4 linked regions of the Drosophila melanogaster genome follow. The protein of the gene in region 4 purifies or fractionates together with the protein of the main gene of each other region. This does not show direct contact. Each region holds a gene or a part of one and is shown on either strand. Other genes may lie near its edges. The genes, in order: ATPsynE, ATPsyndelta, ATPsynF and ATPsynO.

Region 1 (3,003 bases), 940 kb from region 4:
AGGCAGACGTTGAATTCTCCGTGATTTCTAGTTGGGGTTCTGCTGCTGAGAAATCCGCAAAGTCACCGAAGTCATCATCATCTTCTTGCTCTTGCATTTCGGGAACAATTTCTTTGTGTACTAAGTCTTTTGGCGTCGCATCAAGATTTGTAAATGAATATGTATCACTATTTGCTGGTTCACCCCATTGGTGAGGGGATTCCTCCTGATTTGGAGGATTTGATAAGCCACGGCTTTGATTTTCCATAGGCTTTTCTAAGGTATTTGAACTTTCCTCCTGGGCTTCCAAACTTCTAAAGCTTTCTTCTGGCTGGGAGGTATTCTCTACGTATTCTCCTTTCCCTGTATCCACATTCTCCTCCGAAAAGCCTTCTCCATATGGTAGGGTTGGAGTGGCCAATACCTCTATGGCAAAGAAATCCACAGCTCCCTCGCGTATAAATAGTTCTTTGGGCTTCTTTGGCGAGCACTCCTCGTCGCTGTCATCGGACACATCCTCCAGCGTGACTTGGTGGCTGAGGATATGGGCTTTGGTTGTTTGCATAGCCGGCGGAGCAACTGCACTAGTCTCCGCAACCGGTGAGAGTGTGGAGGCGGCAGAAACGCTTTCCGTGGAATAGAGACTTAGACTGTCCAACTTAAGGGAGGGCACATGCTCCTCCAGTTCCTCATCATCCAGTTCCAAGCTCAACGGAGGCGGCGTCGGCGGTGCTGTTTCCTCGAAAACATCGTAATCCATCTTCTGTTTCACCTGGTAATTAAATGCCTCGACGGTTTGTTTGTCTTCCAGCAAATCAGGTGGCTTTTCTCGAAATTCCTCCACGGGATCTGGTGGTGGAGGGGGTTCTAAAAAGCGAGAATTAACTGAGTATCACTTTGAGATTCGATAAATATCTAAGCTTGCCTTTCGAGCTGCTGACTAAGCCAAAATCTGAGTATTCGTCACCCTCGTCCAAATGGATGGTGGATTGTAAACCGGAATCGTCGTCTTCCTCACCAAAATCGATGGGCGGGGGGGTGCTGCAGAGCAGCGGTGGTACATTCACCATAATGCCAGCTGCAAAATTCAGTAAAAGGATCCCCTAAAATTCACTTCCTGCTTCAAGAAGAACAACAAAAACGCTGGGAACGGTTCGATCTTCTATCTCTCTCGCTCCACTTTATCACTGTGTGTGTGGTGTGTATGTGTGACGCAGGTGTGGAGGGCCTGCAAGTGTGTGTGTGTGTGTTAGCCACTCAAGGTCTGTGTTGGAATTTTCTTGTTTGCATTTAACACGCGTCAATTTTGTTGTGTCTCTGTATTATGTCTAATTGTCGCCTTATTGGTGGCTCTAAAAACAGATTTGCCGAATTTGCAAGTCGCGTTTTATCTGCAATTAGCCATGTTTTCCAGAAAACAATACTTTTTCCTCTGCCCACAGTGTGAACGTTTAACTTTTGGCCAACCGACAGTGCTGAAAAACGTTGCGCAACATTGATAACATACAAAATTTGAATCTTATCTTTTTCAATTCCCATTTTCGATTTAAATCATTATCCATAGTTCAGATAGAATAGTTATATTAGTTATATTTCTATAATAGATTTTTATTCTTTCCAATTCTTTTACCGTTAAAATTGTATTTGAAAATTATTAGTAACAAGAGTAAAATATACATGAAAGTCTAGGCTGCAGTATGTAATACGTCAAATTTTGTTGGGACACTAAACAACAAATAGTCGTCATAAAGGCTTCTTTTAAATTGTTATGATATTTTCCACAATTTCTGCATACTTTTTTAAGCTTGCTGGCAACGCCGCCACCGTACCAATACAACTATCGATAGCCGCCTGTCAGTTTTGACAGCTGTTTTAAGGTTATACTGCGCTGCCGTTGCAATCGCTCCACCAATTTGGTAATTTTGCTTATTTAACATCAAATATTGCATAAAACTAGGAAAACCAGGAATCTGTAAAGTGGAGCGAGACGGGGAACGCTATTAAGGAAGTCGGATAACTAAAGTACATCCTTTTCTTGCAGTTCACGGTCGGACAATTACATAACTTGAAGAAGAAACCATGTCGCAGGCTCCCGTTCGCGTTTCCCCGCTGATCAAGTTCGGCAGATGGTCCCTGCTCCTGGTGGGCATTGCCTACGGCGCCGCCCACCAGAGCCGCCTGTCCAAGAAGGAGGAGAAGTTGCGCGAGATCGAGGCACAGCAGAAGGCCGTCCGTGATGCCAAGCTCGCCGAGGAGAAGAAGCGCAGCGCAGAGGCTGAGGCCCGTGCCTTGGCTGAGCTTTCGAAGCCCACTCCCAAGCACTAGGATCCTTCAGGATGCAACATCCGCAGTTCCCTTAGCTTAAAAACATTGAAAAACCACAACATTTACACACGAAGTTCGCCCAAAAGGAGGAGCATCATCGATAGTGGAGCCACCATCTATCGATCACTGACTATCGTTTTTGTGTTTTCCTCTGATGCTTGTGCAAAAAACAGAATGTTCGAAATTAAATGATTGAAACAAAACCATTATGTAAATACTCTCAAGTGTTTCGTGTTTGTGATTAAGTGGTGTTCACTGGAAATATATTTATATTAGCATAGTGTTTGGATAGGAGAGGATTGAGAGAATTTGAGAGGGTTTGAGCTCCAAATTTGACTAGGAAGTACATATAAATATTTTTGCAAATTGATTATCAATAATTTTCCTAAATTTTGTTTTAAATCTTTTTTGATAAACAACAACTGATAGTTTACCTTATTGGATGCCCACTGTAGTTGCCAGCTGATTGGCCCACTTAAGATATTGGCGCCAACAGCTGATTTCAACCGGCGTTTATTTACACTTTCAATTCGCTCGCAAGTCGTCGCATGGCTCGGCTGTTTGATCAATAATCCCCCGGAATACTTCCAATTCCGGAGGTGTTGAGACACCTTTCGTGTTTCGGGGAGCCATTATATCACGCAATCCCATCGAGGACATGCCATCGCATCGCGATGACAAACTTTCTGGATCAATTGC
Region 2 (6,865 bases), on a different chromosome or scaffold from region 4:
AGATTTGAGCCAAACTTGTTTCGAGATTGCAGATGCACTAATATAGATATTTATGTATGTATGTATGTAGTTTCTCAACAGATGCATTCCATGCATGGATCAATTAACAAACCATAATAGACCGCGACAAGATCATAATCACGATTAGTGGCAGAGTGCAGGTTAGCCAACCATTTCTTGGATATTACTTGATTTCCCACCAATCTGATCTGCCCACTGAAAATCTCTTTTTTTTTTGGTATAAATTAATACGTTTCTTAACCGAAAAGCATAACCAATTTGAACAATTTGATAGTATTTTATAAAATTGTTATAAACTGAGTAGAAATATGATTCTAAATGGATATATATATATATGCACATCAGTTGATTATGTTGAATATTTGTGTAAATAAACATATGTTTATTGTTGTAAGTATGTAATACTTAGTGGCTATTTAAAATGCGCCAACAGATATCACTGATCCGAACCGTTGGCCAATTTTACAACATCTTTGGCCTATTGGGCCAACATAATGCGTTTTACATGGCTCGAAGATGCGACTGGTGGCTTGCATAATAATCGGCTCGTTTTATAAATACCTGCATATAGATGGAATATAGCCACCATCAATGAGATGGTTCGGCTTGACAACAGATTCCGATTCAGATTCACCTTGAAATTGCCGGATGAGGTGAAATGGAATGGGTTGGTTTGGTTTCGATTGGATTGGATTGGGTTGGGTTGGGTTAGGTTTTCGCTTTGGTTTATGACAGACTGCCGGCCGCCTTGTGAGGCAACCGCTTTGCAGCACGCCCGTGTATGCAAATTGAATTGACCAAAATCCAAAATCCAAATCGAAATCAAAATCAAAATGAAAACGAAAACCTAAACCATAAAACATAAGATGCCGAATAAAAAAAAAAATACGAAATATGAAAGCCCCATTCCGAGCTTATCACTAACGTAGCGTCTCATTTTCATGCTAATTGTGGGATCCCCATTCGGAATTTGGGAAATGCAGCGTAAGACTTGATGAAACTGAAACTGGTAGCTGGTAGCTGGTAGCTGGTAGCTGGTAGCTGGTAGCTGGTAGCTCCGAATCCAACTGGCTATGGAAGAACCAACCACGACGATTGGCACTTTTGGGTGCGTCCAGCAGCATTTGGTGAAAATCGAAATGAAAACGAAAGCCCATCATCATGATGCTGCTCATCATCGTGGCGATGATGATGATGGCGTTGATGGGCAGTTTGGAAATGTTAATGAAACGCCTTTTGTTCGCCCTTGCTGGCTTATATCGTATAAAAGACTTGGTCTCCAATCGATCGGACATCAGTCGCTTGCTCATCGGCACTCAAGGCGTTTTTTTTTTTTTGGAATTGGTATCATCGCATCAAGTGGATTAGTAGTCAGCATGAAGGTGAGCTGCTCACAATGTCCTGTGCCGGCAAATATCCTCTTCTAGTTTTTTTTTTTTTATTTATCCAAACTGATTTGAAAAGTGACAAAGTGGCAAGAGCATCCTGAGCTCAGTTTAAATTCTTTCGAACTTTCGAAGAAGTGATAGTTAATATTCAAATACAAAGTGTGCTGAAGAATATCAGAAGATTGAAAATGAAAATATTTAAACAAAGAATGAATACAAAGTATATCCATTTGGAAAATACAGTCTATGAAGATCAAAGATCCTTTAAAGATATAGAAAAAAAAACCAGCGATAAAACTCTACTTTCTAATTGGAAAACATAACAAAAACTTAATGAACTTTATATATTCTTTAAAATCCTCTAAGGATGCAACATGAAACATGAAACTAAATCGCTTCTTATACTCTGCCATCCTTCCAGGTCTTCGTTTGCATGTGTGCTCTGTTCGCTGTGGCCAACGCTGGCTTCCTGGGACTCCTCGGCGGTGGCGGCGGTGGAGGCGGTGGTGGCGGCCTTAACCTCGGAGGCGGTGGTGGCAACGGAGGCGGCGGCGGTGGTAGTGGCGCTCGCGGCTATGGCGGCCATGGACCCAGTGGCCCAGTCCAGGTGGTCAAGGTGATCCATCAGCAGGGCGGCGTTGGCTACTCCTCCGGCGCTAGCTATGGCAGCGGCTATGGCTACGAGGCGGCTCCCCAGATCTTCAAGGTGAAGGTCATCTCTGGCGGCAGCGGCGGTGGCTATGGACCCGCTCCTGGACCCGCTTATCTGCCTCCAGCTGGGCCCGCCCCCTCCTCCGTCAAGGTGATCAAGATCCTGCAGGAATCCGCACCCATTGTGAGTGCCCCGCTGGTCGAGAGCGCTCCGCAGATTGTCAAGGTGGTGAATGTGGCATCTGGACCCGTGGCTGGACCATCCTTCATCGGCGGCTCTTCGGTTGGCGGCGGTGCCGTGTCCCAGGTCATCAAGGTCGTTCACGAGAGCCACGACAGCGGCATCTCGTCGGGTGGCTACTCGTCGGGTGGCTACTCCTCCGGTGGTTACTCTTCGGGTGGAGCCACCAAGGTGGTGCGTGTGATCCATGAGCACTCCGCTCCAGCTGCCGGTCCAGCCTATGCCCCCATCGATGTGCCCGCACCAGTGGCTGCTCCAGTCGCTTCCTACCTGCCTCCTCAGGAGATCGCTGCTCCGGCTCCAGTTTATGCTGCTCCAGCTCCGGCTCCAGTTTATGCTGCTCCTGCTCCCGCTCCTGTGTACTCCGCACCTGCTCCCGCTCCAGTGTACTCCGCTCCTGCCCCAGCTCCTGTGTACTCTGCTCCTGCTCCCGCTCCAGTGTACTCCGCACCTGCTCCCGCTCCAGCTTACTCCGCTCCTGCTCCCGCTCCAGTTTACTCCGCTCCTGCCCCAGCTCCAGTCTATGCCGCCCCAGCACCCGCTCCCGTCCTGAGTGTGCCACATCCCGCTCCTGCACCCGTTTTTGCTCCCGAGGAGCAGTCCCTGCCCATCGGTCACGCCCCTGCCCAGACCTACGGCCCACCGGGATACTAGAACAATTCGCCAATCTATCGGAGGACCTTCCTGCTAACTACATCGACAGCATATTACCATTCCCACACAACGCCATGAGTTAATTTAAGACATTTTTTTTACAACACATTTTTTTGTTACCAAATACATAGACAATTCCAAAAAAAAAAAATCCAATTTTCTTTTTTCAATTCTATAGTATTTATCATCTTTATAAAGAGTTTCAAAATGGATTATCTTCTATCTGCCAAAAGTATAATTTTAGCCATTGATTAATTCTTGTTTCCATAAAAAAAAAACAAAGTTGCTTTTTATTACTACTTTTGAGAGAAATTTAAACAATCATCCGAGATAAGATATGCGAACTATCCATGAATGCAACACACCAGATGAAATACAAACTATACTATTTGTTAAGATGAAAGACGAGCTCATTTACAAATTGTAAGTTTTTATGCTTATGCGATTTGCATAAATTGGCAAGGGAAAAAGAAACGACGTTCGTCTCTTTCGGCCAAAATGCAAATCACTCATATTTTTGACTTAAAGATTGCCAAAGCATTATCATATCAACGGTCTATCCCACAGCGAGCAAATATTACACATTTCTCTTCACCAGCTCACATACATATATTATAAACTATATAAACACACAGTTTAGCGGCATAACATGAAAAAAAAAAGAAAAAAAAATCATTTGCCTGGTGGATCACGGGTCATTAATACGATATTATGATTCGCTTTTTTATTGTTTCATAACTCTCTGGCTTTTTAAGGTGATCGTTATGTTTTTTATTTATTTCAGACACAAAGCATCGATTGTGGTTTATTGGTGGCGGTTGTGTGGTGATTACGTCTATTCGGCAGCCTTGACTAACGCTTCGGCGACCTCCACGGCAATGGCAGCCTGGGCCTTGGCCTGCAAAACAAGGATCGTGGTTAAGTCTCGTTTAGATAGCTTCAGAATGTGCAATACAGAATGCAAAAGCAACTCAAACATAAGTTTACTCATGGAAATATCGAATGTGTAAGCGTTAATTTAAGAGCAAACTTGTTTGTACAAAGAAAGTATATCAAGTAAAAAGGATGGGCACATAGAAATCGTTTAGTAACTTAAATGCCAGTTGGCGTGAATGGTGGAAGCAGTGTTTCCATCAAAAGAGTCTGTTTGAGTTGTACTTTCTGGACCACTACTTCTACTTTCTAGACACTACTCTACTATGCAACTTCTTGACTAGATTCGCACCTTGTCGTCGCCAGCGGAGCTAAGCTGTGACTGGTATTTCGCGAGCAGCTGGCGCGCCTCATTGGCATCGATGTCCTCGATGTTGTGGGCCTCCTCGGCCAGAACCTGAACGGAGGAATCCTCGTTGACGGTGACGGAACCGCTGGAGACGAAGAACTTGAGGGTCTTGCCATCGTTTTCCACCACCTGGACAACGCCGGGCTTCAGGACAGCTGCAATAGCAAAGAGATTCGCCAACGGTGATATAACCATCTCGAGGCAACTGAAACTGAATGATCGAACTTACCCAGAGTGGGCACGTGCTTGGCCAGGATGCCGAAGGATCCCGAGAAGGAAGGCACATCGATTTGGCGCACCACAGCGGCATCGTAGAAGGTTTTGTTGGCGGCGGCGAAGGTCAGCTTCATCTCATCCGAGTAGCTGCGGTTCTGGGCCAAGCGAGCGCCGCGGGCGGCCAGCAAACGGGCGTTCTTAACGAAGGACATTTTGGGCTGCAACGAGAGGATAAATTCAGGATTAAAAGTCTTTTCTGCCACAGCCAGCCAGCATAACAACAAAATAACCAAATTATGTAACTTTGTAGGTTAGGCGGCGGCTGCTATTGCGTTTCCCCAGCTCAAATTTCGATCGCTTTTCATTGCAAATCCTCGGGCACTGTGATCAGTGGACTACCCCTCAATTTATCAGTTATTTTCACCTGTTTTTATTTCGGTTTGATAGCGAAAAACACGAGAAAACTTCAGTGATCAGCCGCTGTTTTTGCGAAAAACGTTTAAGTCAGAGTGACCAGCCGGGAATACAAAACTTATCTAGCAATAACGCGTTTTTACGATATTTAGAGGACAAGACAAAATACAAAATTTTCAATACGCAACAGGCTCTTACAAAATAAAAAGTGCAATCATTTCACACATAATAATTAAGTGTTTTAATTATAATAATAAAGTGCCTCAATCAATAAACAAATTATATAGACCAATAAACTTTTAGTGGCAACACTTATTCTTTTAATTCATTAGTCTGGCATCGCCAATTAAAAGCTTAAATTTTTTGTATATTGCTTTTGATCGTACATTAAAAATGATATTAAAAGAAAAACTATTTATTCCAAAAATTATAATTTAAAAAATGAAATTTCCTTTATTAGATTAAGACTTTGATTAATAACGGTGTGTTTACATGGCATAACCATGCGACCATTTATACTGTTATGAATCTGGTGTTTTTGATTTTGTTTAGTTTCTTTTTCAGTATTTCCTTTTTTATTAGATCCTTTTATTAAAGTTCGGAGTTTTTTCGTATCTCACGAATCTTTTACCCGCGCAACATTCAAAACTGGCGTTAGCGACTATTTTTAGCCACCGCGCTACCTGGTCACACTGGCACAGGCAGCACAACAACAAATTCCAATTGGAAATAGAAACGAAACAATGCAGATTGCTGCATTATTATACAAGTGAAGAAGAAGAGAGTGCCATTTTCGGCTGCTATTTGTGCACGTCTCTGTGACTGTGTGTGAGTGTGTGCGTGTCGCGTGTGTGCTCTGCGCTGAGGTGTTTGTTGGCGAACGACAGCGAAAGGCGACAAGCAAACAAACAAACAAACAAAACACACAGGACGTAAGTGCTTGCAACATTTACCCAAGTTTGTCACCCACTCGCGCCCTCTCTGTCGCACCTGCAGGCGAAACGCAGTTGCGAAAAACAACAGTGTTTCCCCATGTTTGTGTTTGTGTGCATAGATAGCTGTCTATATATTTTTCGCTCTGCTTATTTTCTATTTTGTTTTGTTATATCTTCTATTTTGCTTGGCTCTTCGTGTATGTGTATAGGTGTCTTAGCAAATTGCGCCTTTCAGTTGGAAAAACTCTGCAAAAAATAGAAACAGAAAGCTTGCCTTAAAGTTCATTCCTCACACACACAGCTGACTTTGTTGTGGAAAAAGGGTGTGAAGAAGAGAAGGATTTTCTGCTTTTTGTTTGTTGCACACATACAGGCCCGCATACACATGTGAACGAGCAGCTGTAGCGCGCATGTGTATGTGTTTGTGTATTTTTGTTTACCTCTCTCTCCGCCGTCACACTCTCACTCACTCTCTTCTCCGCTGTCTTGCCCTCTGCCTGCGTCGCGGTCGCCAGTGGCGTCGCAACGCAATATATTTCATGTTATTTCTGATAAGAGAACTAACCGCAATCGGTCTATATAAACATATATACAACAGATCCGATCCTTAGCTATTGACCCCAAGCTATAGCGGTGCGAGCGGAACGGCAACATCGCAAAGAAGCAGCGGCATAAGACAACAACAATGTTGGGTCGTTGCTCCTCTTTTTGCTTCTTCGCTTTCATCTTCTGCTCCTTTTGTTTTTTGTTACGGTACTTTTAGATACTTCGAAAAGTGTATACCCTTCGTACTATCTGATTCAGGCAAAATTATATGTAGGTTTTCTTGTCATCCGATCTTTATGATTAGTTGTCAATCTCAACTAATTAAGAATAAAACAAATAATTAAAAACCCATAATAATTCTCAAAAGTAATGTTCAGCTTAGTGAAGTAAATGACATTCTACTTGCGTTTTAAAATTTGTTTTCTAATTAGTTCGTTTTGTTTTTTGGAACCAATGCCCCAAACAATACCCTACCTTCTGGTCAAATAAAAACAAATACATAGCAAGCGGTGAGAAA
Region 3 (2,839 bases), on a different chromosome or scaffold from region 4:
CGTGGTGTATACTCAGCCTAGTGCCTACTTGAATGCCTCACTGACCTGTTCAAACTCCTCGGAGTTCACTGGTAGTCTGGCCCACATCGCATCCGAACACAGAACCAGTTTATTGGCCCAATGGCTAGTGGAATTCAACAGGAAATCACAGTCTCTGGCAGAAGGTAATGTCTATCTGGCCTATGTGGGTTTGGCCTACAACAGCTCAACGTCATTGAGCCCACTGGACTTCAGGAACTCCCAAGGGGAGAGCTTGCAGTGCTTTCTTTACAGAGCCTGGGATGGTGGTCATCCTCGAGTTGGGTAGGCTGACAGTTTATTAGGTTAGCCGCCAATGCTATCTTCTCTAAATCTAACCGAATTTGCAGTGGTGATCTGGGCAACGCCAGCTGCGTGGCCTTGACGCCGCAGGGAACCTGGCAAACCCTGAACTGCGACCGGGAGCTGCCCTTTATCTGCGAAATCCACACGGCCCGGTCAACTTTCGGCTGGGAGCAGTCCAGTTCCGAGCTGGACATCGGCCCAAATGCAGTCTTCGAGTGCGGAAGAGACCGAGTCTGAGTCTATGGCAGCATGGATATTCGCAGCCGTTTTATTCACTTAAGCAGTTTTCAAAACACAAAAGCCAAATAGATATAGTTTAGTGGTGATTGCCCGCCTCTCGCACGCCTTGTGGAAAGTGTAGAATCTGTTGCAGATGCAGGACCACCGGGCAGCGCCGCTTAGTGGTACTTGTAGTTCCTGTGGTGCTTCAACTTGGTGTAGTTAATCAGATAGAAGAACGTCATGCTGGCGACGGTCAGCTGGAAGAAGGGAGCGATCCCGGCGCGCTTTGGGAACACGTACTTGTGCTGCCAGCGCCACCAGGCACGGCTCACAGCTCCGGCCACAGCGTTGGGGGTCTTGTTGCGGCGTCCCAGCCAGGCGCCGATCTCGCCCAGCTTGACCTGGCCGAAGGGCACATCGGCTGCGGATCGGAGAGAGCGGAGAGGTCGGAAAGTTGTTTAAATTATGTAAAACGCTGCACATTTTTGGGCAGTGCAAATGTGCTCTGTGCCTGCCGCAAAAATTACGTAACCTGCTCACCTTTGCCGTAGAAGCGAGCGGGGTCGTAGGGCCCGTGCACCTTGGGGTTGTACTCAGCTGGATAGTCACCGAATGCCATCGCGCTGGTTTGGTTGAGATATATTCTTAAATCGGATTCTTATGAAACATAAAATTACGCCTGCTACTTACTTCCTTCGATACTGACAGTATGACCAAAGCGGCGAGAGCTGGGATTTTCATCGACCAATATACCGAAATATACTATGTGCGAATTTATTGTGTGCGTCTCCGCTAACAGGGAGGATGTATTCGCTACGTCATCGATACAGCGAATATATCGATGCCCGATGCACGATGCACTTCTCACATCACTAAGCTCCAGTATATACAGAAATCAAATAGGATTTTTGCAAGCCTGGGCATTCGAATCAGAATCCAGCCAAAGCGAATCCAGTGTGTAAACAAAAACAATGAAACTGGAGGAGTTGCTGACCAAGGGAGCCTCCTCTCCGCCGGAGGACGACGACGAGGACGAGAAGGTGGAGCTGAAGCCGCAGAAGTCAAGCAGCGCCACCGCGGACGAGGGGGCGGAGAACGCGGAGGATGCGGCCGAGGATGCTGGCGAGAAGGAAGGCGCGGGTGGCAAGAAGAAGGGCACGCGCAAGAAACGCTCCCTTAACTGGGAGGAGGCGGAAAGGGGGCTGCTCCTTGAGGTCATCAAGTCCAAGGTGGCCTTCGTGGAGAACCGGAGCGTGGACGCCAAGAGCATAAAGGCCAAGCGTCTGGCCTGGTCGCAGATCACCAAGCAGTAAGTTGCGCCATTGGGCAGTGGAGCTCGTCTTATAATGGCCCTTCACTCCTTCCATTCCAACCCCCCATCCAGGTTCAATGCCCTTAACTTCCGCCATCGCCTGCTGGAGCAGATCCAGGTGCAGTGGCGCAGCATGAAGAACTCCGCCAAGCGGGAGCACCAGCAGAAGCATCCGAAAACGGAGGCCCTGGAAGGCATGCGGATGATCGAGTTCCTGGAGGAGATGCAGAAGGATCCGGTCACCTCGCGCAGTCAGACACGCAGCGCGAACACAAACGGCGCTCTTAAGAAGGAGCTCATGGACATCGACGAGGACGAAGACATGCCGCTGGCCGCTCTGCCCAACTCTACGAACGCCAGCGAGGACACGCTGCAGACCTCCACAATAGCCATCCCCTCGCCGCCGCCCTCCACTGCTGGCGGAGACGGGGACTCCCAGCAGGAGGGAAATCCCGCCCAGCTGCCAGCCCAGCGACGCAAGCGGACCAAGGCCAAGCAGTCGCCCTCGGGCGCCAAGACAGAAACGTCCGGCGAAACGGGGGAGGAGAACGAAAAGGGCGTAGGCCCACCACGAAAGCGGCGACAAAGGAATGTGAGTTTGAACACAAGCCGCAAGTTTATTTATTATTATTAATTAAGGTTTAGCTGAACAAGTTGCAAATTTTTGTGAAGGGGAATCTTAATCTTTCTTACTAATAATACTATCTCATCGTTAACCAGCTCTCACAGGCCCAGTCGCTGCTGTCCGACGAGAACGAAGCCTCCACCAACGCAGCTCCGAGCGCCACCCCAGTTGCAGACACAAATAGCCAGTCCTTAGATTTGGTCGCCGCCACGGAGATAGAGCAGAAGTACAAGCAGGACCTGTTTAGGCTGCTCAAGCAGGCCCGTCTGGCCGAAATCGACTACGCCCGGCGGGAACACGAGCAGAAGCTGCGCTTCGAGCAGATGGAGCAGGAGGTGAAGATGGCCTACTACCGG
Region 4 (3,166 bases):
GATGGGTGCTGCTCTCCGGCGAAGCAACGTCCCATGGCGCCGCCTCCAGAGATTTGCGTTCAAGAGTCCGATCTGACCGAAAATGATGAGCGAGCTGTGTTCCCGGAAATCGACAAGCCCAATTACAGAGTTTGTCGATCCTCGAACGAGACCAATGTTCTGGTCCTGGAGGAGAGTCCTTTGAATGATTGCAGCCCCAACCCAGGGCAGGATGCGAGTACACTAGATAGCAAGACGAAGAGTAATTTTGATGCTCAACAAAACGCCAACGATAATAAAGAGCAACATAATAGTTTTCTAATCAACTGGCTTGAGTCCCCGGCCACGAGTAACTTCACCAAGGTTCTGGAACTGCAGAGATCTCGCATCAAGGAGCTGGAGAATCTGCTGGAGCAGCACAGCCTTCTGCAGCAGACAATCCAGCACAAGGTTGCGGAGCTGCAGTGCACAGATATACCGGATCCTAAAAATATATCTAAATCATAAACCAAATCTAGTGCGCATATCTCTGAATAAATTTTGTTGGTTTTCAAAGGGTGAAGAGTGTTTTATTCGCTATTACCGCTTGAATTCCAATACCAAACTTTCAGTTTGACCATCTAAATCAAGAGCAAATCCTTAAGAGTCTAGGCAGCGGTCTGGATGACATCGGTGTAGAGCTTGACCTTAGTGGCAATGCTCATGTCGACGTACTTGTCGCCAATGGAAACGATCAGGCCACCAATGATGCTGGGGTCCACGCGGGAAGTGATCTTCAGAGACTCGTTGCCCTTCAGGAAAGACTGCAAAGCAAATGAGCAATAAATTGAGTGGGTGAGACAAGACAGAAGCTAGGCGTAGCTACCTTAAGGGCACCCTCCAGCTGCTTGCTCTGGGACGCATCCAAGGGCTTGGCGGTGACCACCTCGCAGACGACCTCACCGCGATGTGCGGCCATGATGGTCTTGTAGGCATTGATCACGGTGTCCAGCTTCTTTAGACGTCCGTTGTCAGCCAGCAGACCCAACAGATTGACGGTGGCCGGGGCGAAGCGGAGCTTCTCGGATGCCTCCTTCAGAGCGGTGGCCATGACCTTCTTGTTGATGATGGGGCTGGTCACGTACTCGCGCAGCTTCTTGTCGCTACGGATGGTGGCCTGCAGGGCCGTCAGATCCTTCTCCACCTGATCCAACTGGCTCAACTTGGAGGCAGCCGAATACAGGGCGGTAGCATAGCGACCCTCCAGACCGAACACCTGCACTGGTGGCTTCACCGTCGCCTGGGCGGCAGCGGAGCTGAGGGTGCGGCTCTGCGGGATAAGCAAACAAGAGCACTTGGTAAGTTTTTCGGCTTATTAAACATAAACTACCCGCGGTTCGTGGGTTAAGATGGGCAAAAATTACATAACCAAGAAACGCGCGTTAGATAATTCTACATATGCGACAGCGGGTTGCAAACGCAATAAAAATTTGACATGCACTTAAAATGGCTTGGCATTGACCGGAGCTTGTTCACTTTTTTCTATTTATTCGCATTATAACATACCAAAAGTGCCAATTTGTTAATAGAGGCCATCGTTTTTATCCCGACAATTTTTCAGCTAAAAATCTCAGCTGTGACCAGGGCTACGTTACTTGCTACTCGACGTGTGGCAGGGTTGTTTTGAATGGCGTAAGGGTTGCAGGACAGTTATCGATTACAAAAAATAGCTAGATTTTAAGATTTATACTAGCTAGTTAAATAAAAGCGAATTTTCATTTTAAAAATGATATTCTGACTTTAAAGTAATTCTTAAAGGATATATTAAAAGATAGGTATTTCTGGGTACCCAAAATCTACCTTAATAGTAACACCTCTAATTTGCTATTAAATAATTAATTAATTAATAAATATTAATTAATAAAGTAATAAATTATTTTATAAACATCGAATTGAATACTTTGGTAATTCTTTACTTACATAAAAAGACACGGCTTGAGATTCGATTTACGTCTTTTTATTTGTTTTAAATTAATTTAATGGTGATTCTCATTTTCTGCTGCTCTTTAATGGATGTATGACTTTTGCTTATTTCGAAACCTAAATATGTCCTTAAATCGTTGCGAATATGTAAATGTTGCATAACCATCGGGAAAACTATAGTTGCCAGTGGTTATAAACAATGTGGGCCTTCGGTTGCGAGCGATTTGAAATTGCATTAATCAGTTTACTTGTCATCTAAAATGGTTGGTTAGGTGGTTAGTAAATTCCTTCTGTTCAAAAGGCACTCCATTAGCTTACCCTCATCCTCTTCCTCTTCCTCGCCTTCTCCATCCTCACCGTCCTCGTCGTCAAATGCCTCCTCATCATTATCTTCGTTGTCCTCCTCGTCCTCGGGCTCCACCTCGATATCAGGTACCAGATAATACTGCAGTGGATTTGGCCAAAGGTCGTCTTTTATCAGTTCTGCGATCTCGTCGTTGACGGGATCGGTGTTATCCGAGAACCAATCGAAGAAGGTTTTGTATTCGGAGTTGCGCTTCTTCTTGTTTCCGTACGGCTTTGTCAGCAAAAGTTTTAGCAGGTTCTTTCCCTCCTTCCATTTGATGGGCGTGCTGGTAGACGCGGGCCAGTCTCCGTTCTCGGAAGCAGCTTTAATTGAAATAGTAATGGGTTAGCTAAGCGGATTTGAATCAATCGTTGGGAGAACTTACCCGCTGAATTCAGGTGGAACTCTTTGGTGAGCACCTTGTTTTCGAAGTAAGGATTCTCGTCGAAATGGAAGTTGATGCGGTAACCCGATTTGATGTCCTCAAACTCCTCAACCTCAAGTTTGTTGAGCGCGTGCAGGCACTCCTCCTCCTCCTCGTCCAGAATGCCGGATACTTGCGGGTGGTTGATAAACTGCAAATATGGCAGTTGGGATTAGCTAGGGGATGCATGCTATCAAGCAGAAAGCCATGTTTATGGCCCCTATGGCACTACTTTTCTTTTCAATTATGGCAGCAAATATTTCAGTGGTTTTTGATTTGAAGCCATTTTGAACTGTGCTATGTTGTGTATTTCCCGGCCAGACGGATATATCGATAGCACGATTTTTCCGGGAGGGGGAAAATGCGCGGGGAGCCGGTGGTGTCGGCATTGCAGCCCAAAGATGAACAAGAAAAAATGCCTCGAATAGAGAAAATTTCTTGTACATGTGTGCAGC

The links.
Region 1: the proteins of ATPsynO (region 4) and ATPsynE purify together in Drosophila melanogaster (affinity purification with mass spectrometry; 2 studies listed by BioGRID, with this or other methods). This does not show direct contact.
Region 2: the proteins of ATPsynO (region 4) and ATPsyndelta purify together in Drosophila melanogaster (affinity purification with mass spectrometry; 2 studies listed by BioGRID, with this or other methods). This does not show direct contact.
Region 3: the proteins of ATPsynO (region 4) and ATPsynF purify together in Drosophila melanogaster (affinity purification with mass spectrometry; 2 studies listed by BioGRID, with this or other methods). This does not show direct contact.

Annotation. Positions count from the first base shown.
Region 1 is NT_033777.3:14,325,233-14,328,235, forward strand, and holds ATPsynE (ATP synthase, subunit E), read left to right. Parts: upstream 1-1,714; 5' UTR 1,715-1,895; exon of another isoform or gene 1,896-1,951; intron 1,952-2,020; 5' UTR 2,021-2,058; coding exon 2,059-2,304; 3' UTR 2,305-2,503; downstream 2,504-3,003. Other genes in the region: Afti (aftiphilin), read right to left, coding at 1-846, 905-1,049; spn-B (spindle B), read left to right, coding at 2,979-3,003.
Region 2 is NC_004354.4:10,211,087-10,217,951, reverse strand, and holds ATPsyndelta (ATP synthase, delta subunit), read right to left. Parts: upstream 4,983-6,865; 5' UTR 4,878-4,982; intron 4,672-4,877; 5' UTR 4,666-4,671; coding exon 4,467-4,665; intron 4,393-4,466; coding exon 4,181-4,392; intron 3,854-4,180; coding exon 3,791-3,853; 3' UTR 2,956-3,790; coding exon of another isoform or gene 1,831-2,955; 3' UTR 1,404-1,830; coding exon of another isoform or gene 1,398-1,403; 3' UTR 559-1,397; downstream 1-558. Other genes in the region: CG2962 (uncharacterized protein), read left to right, coding at 1,398-1,403, 1,831-2,955.
Region 3 is NT_033778.4:24,598,531-24,601,369, forward strand, and holds ATPsynF (ATP synthase, subunit F), read right to left. Parts: upstream 1,292-2,839; 5' UTR 1,237-1,291; exon of another isoform or gene 1,170-1,236; 5' UTR 1,166-1,169; coding exon 1,087-1,165; intron 968-1,086; coding exon 723-967; 3' UTR 562-722; downstream 1-561. Other genes in the region: CG13587 (uncharacterized protein), read left to right, coding at 1-303, 369-561; CG3548 (uncharacterized protein), read left to right, coding at 1,518-1,855, 1,931-2,450, 2,579-2,839. UniProt on the Drosophila melanogaster protein: Mitochondrial membrane ATP synthase (F(1)F(0) ATP synthase or Complex V) produces ATP from ADP in the presence of a proton gradient across the membrane which is generated by electron transport complexes of the respiratory chain.
Region 4 is NT_033777.3:15,264,049-15,267,214, reverse strand, and holds ATPsynO (ATP synthase, oligomycin sensitivity conferring protein), read right to left. Parts: upstream 1,625-3,166; 5' UTR 1,555-1,624; coding exon 1,525-1,554; intron 1,289-1,524; coding exon 845-1,288; intron 783-844; coding exon 627-782; 3' UTR 525-626; downstream 1-524. Other genes in the region: CG14864 (uncharacterized protein), read left to right, coding at 1-486; Set, read right to left, coding at 2,186-2,196, 2,260-2,610, 2,673-2,862. UniProt on the Drosophila melanogaster protein: Mitochondrial membrane ATP synthase (F(1)F(0) ATP synthase or Complex V) produces ATP from ADP in the presence of a proton gradient across the membrane which is generated by electron transport complexes of the respiratory chain.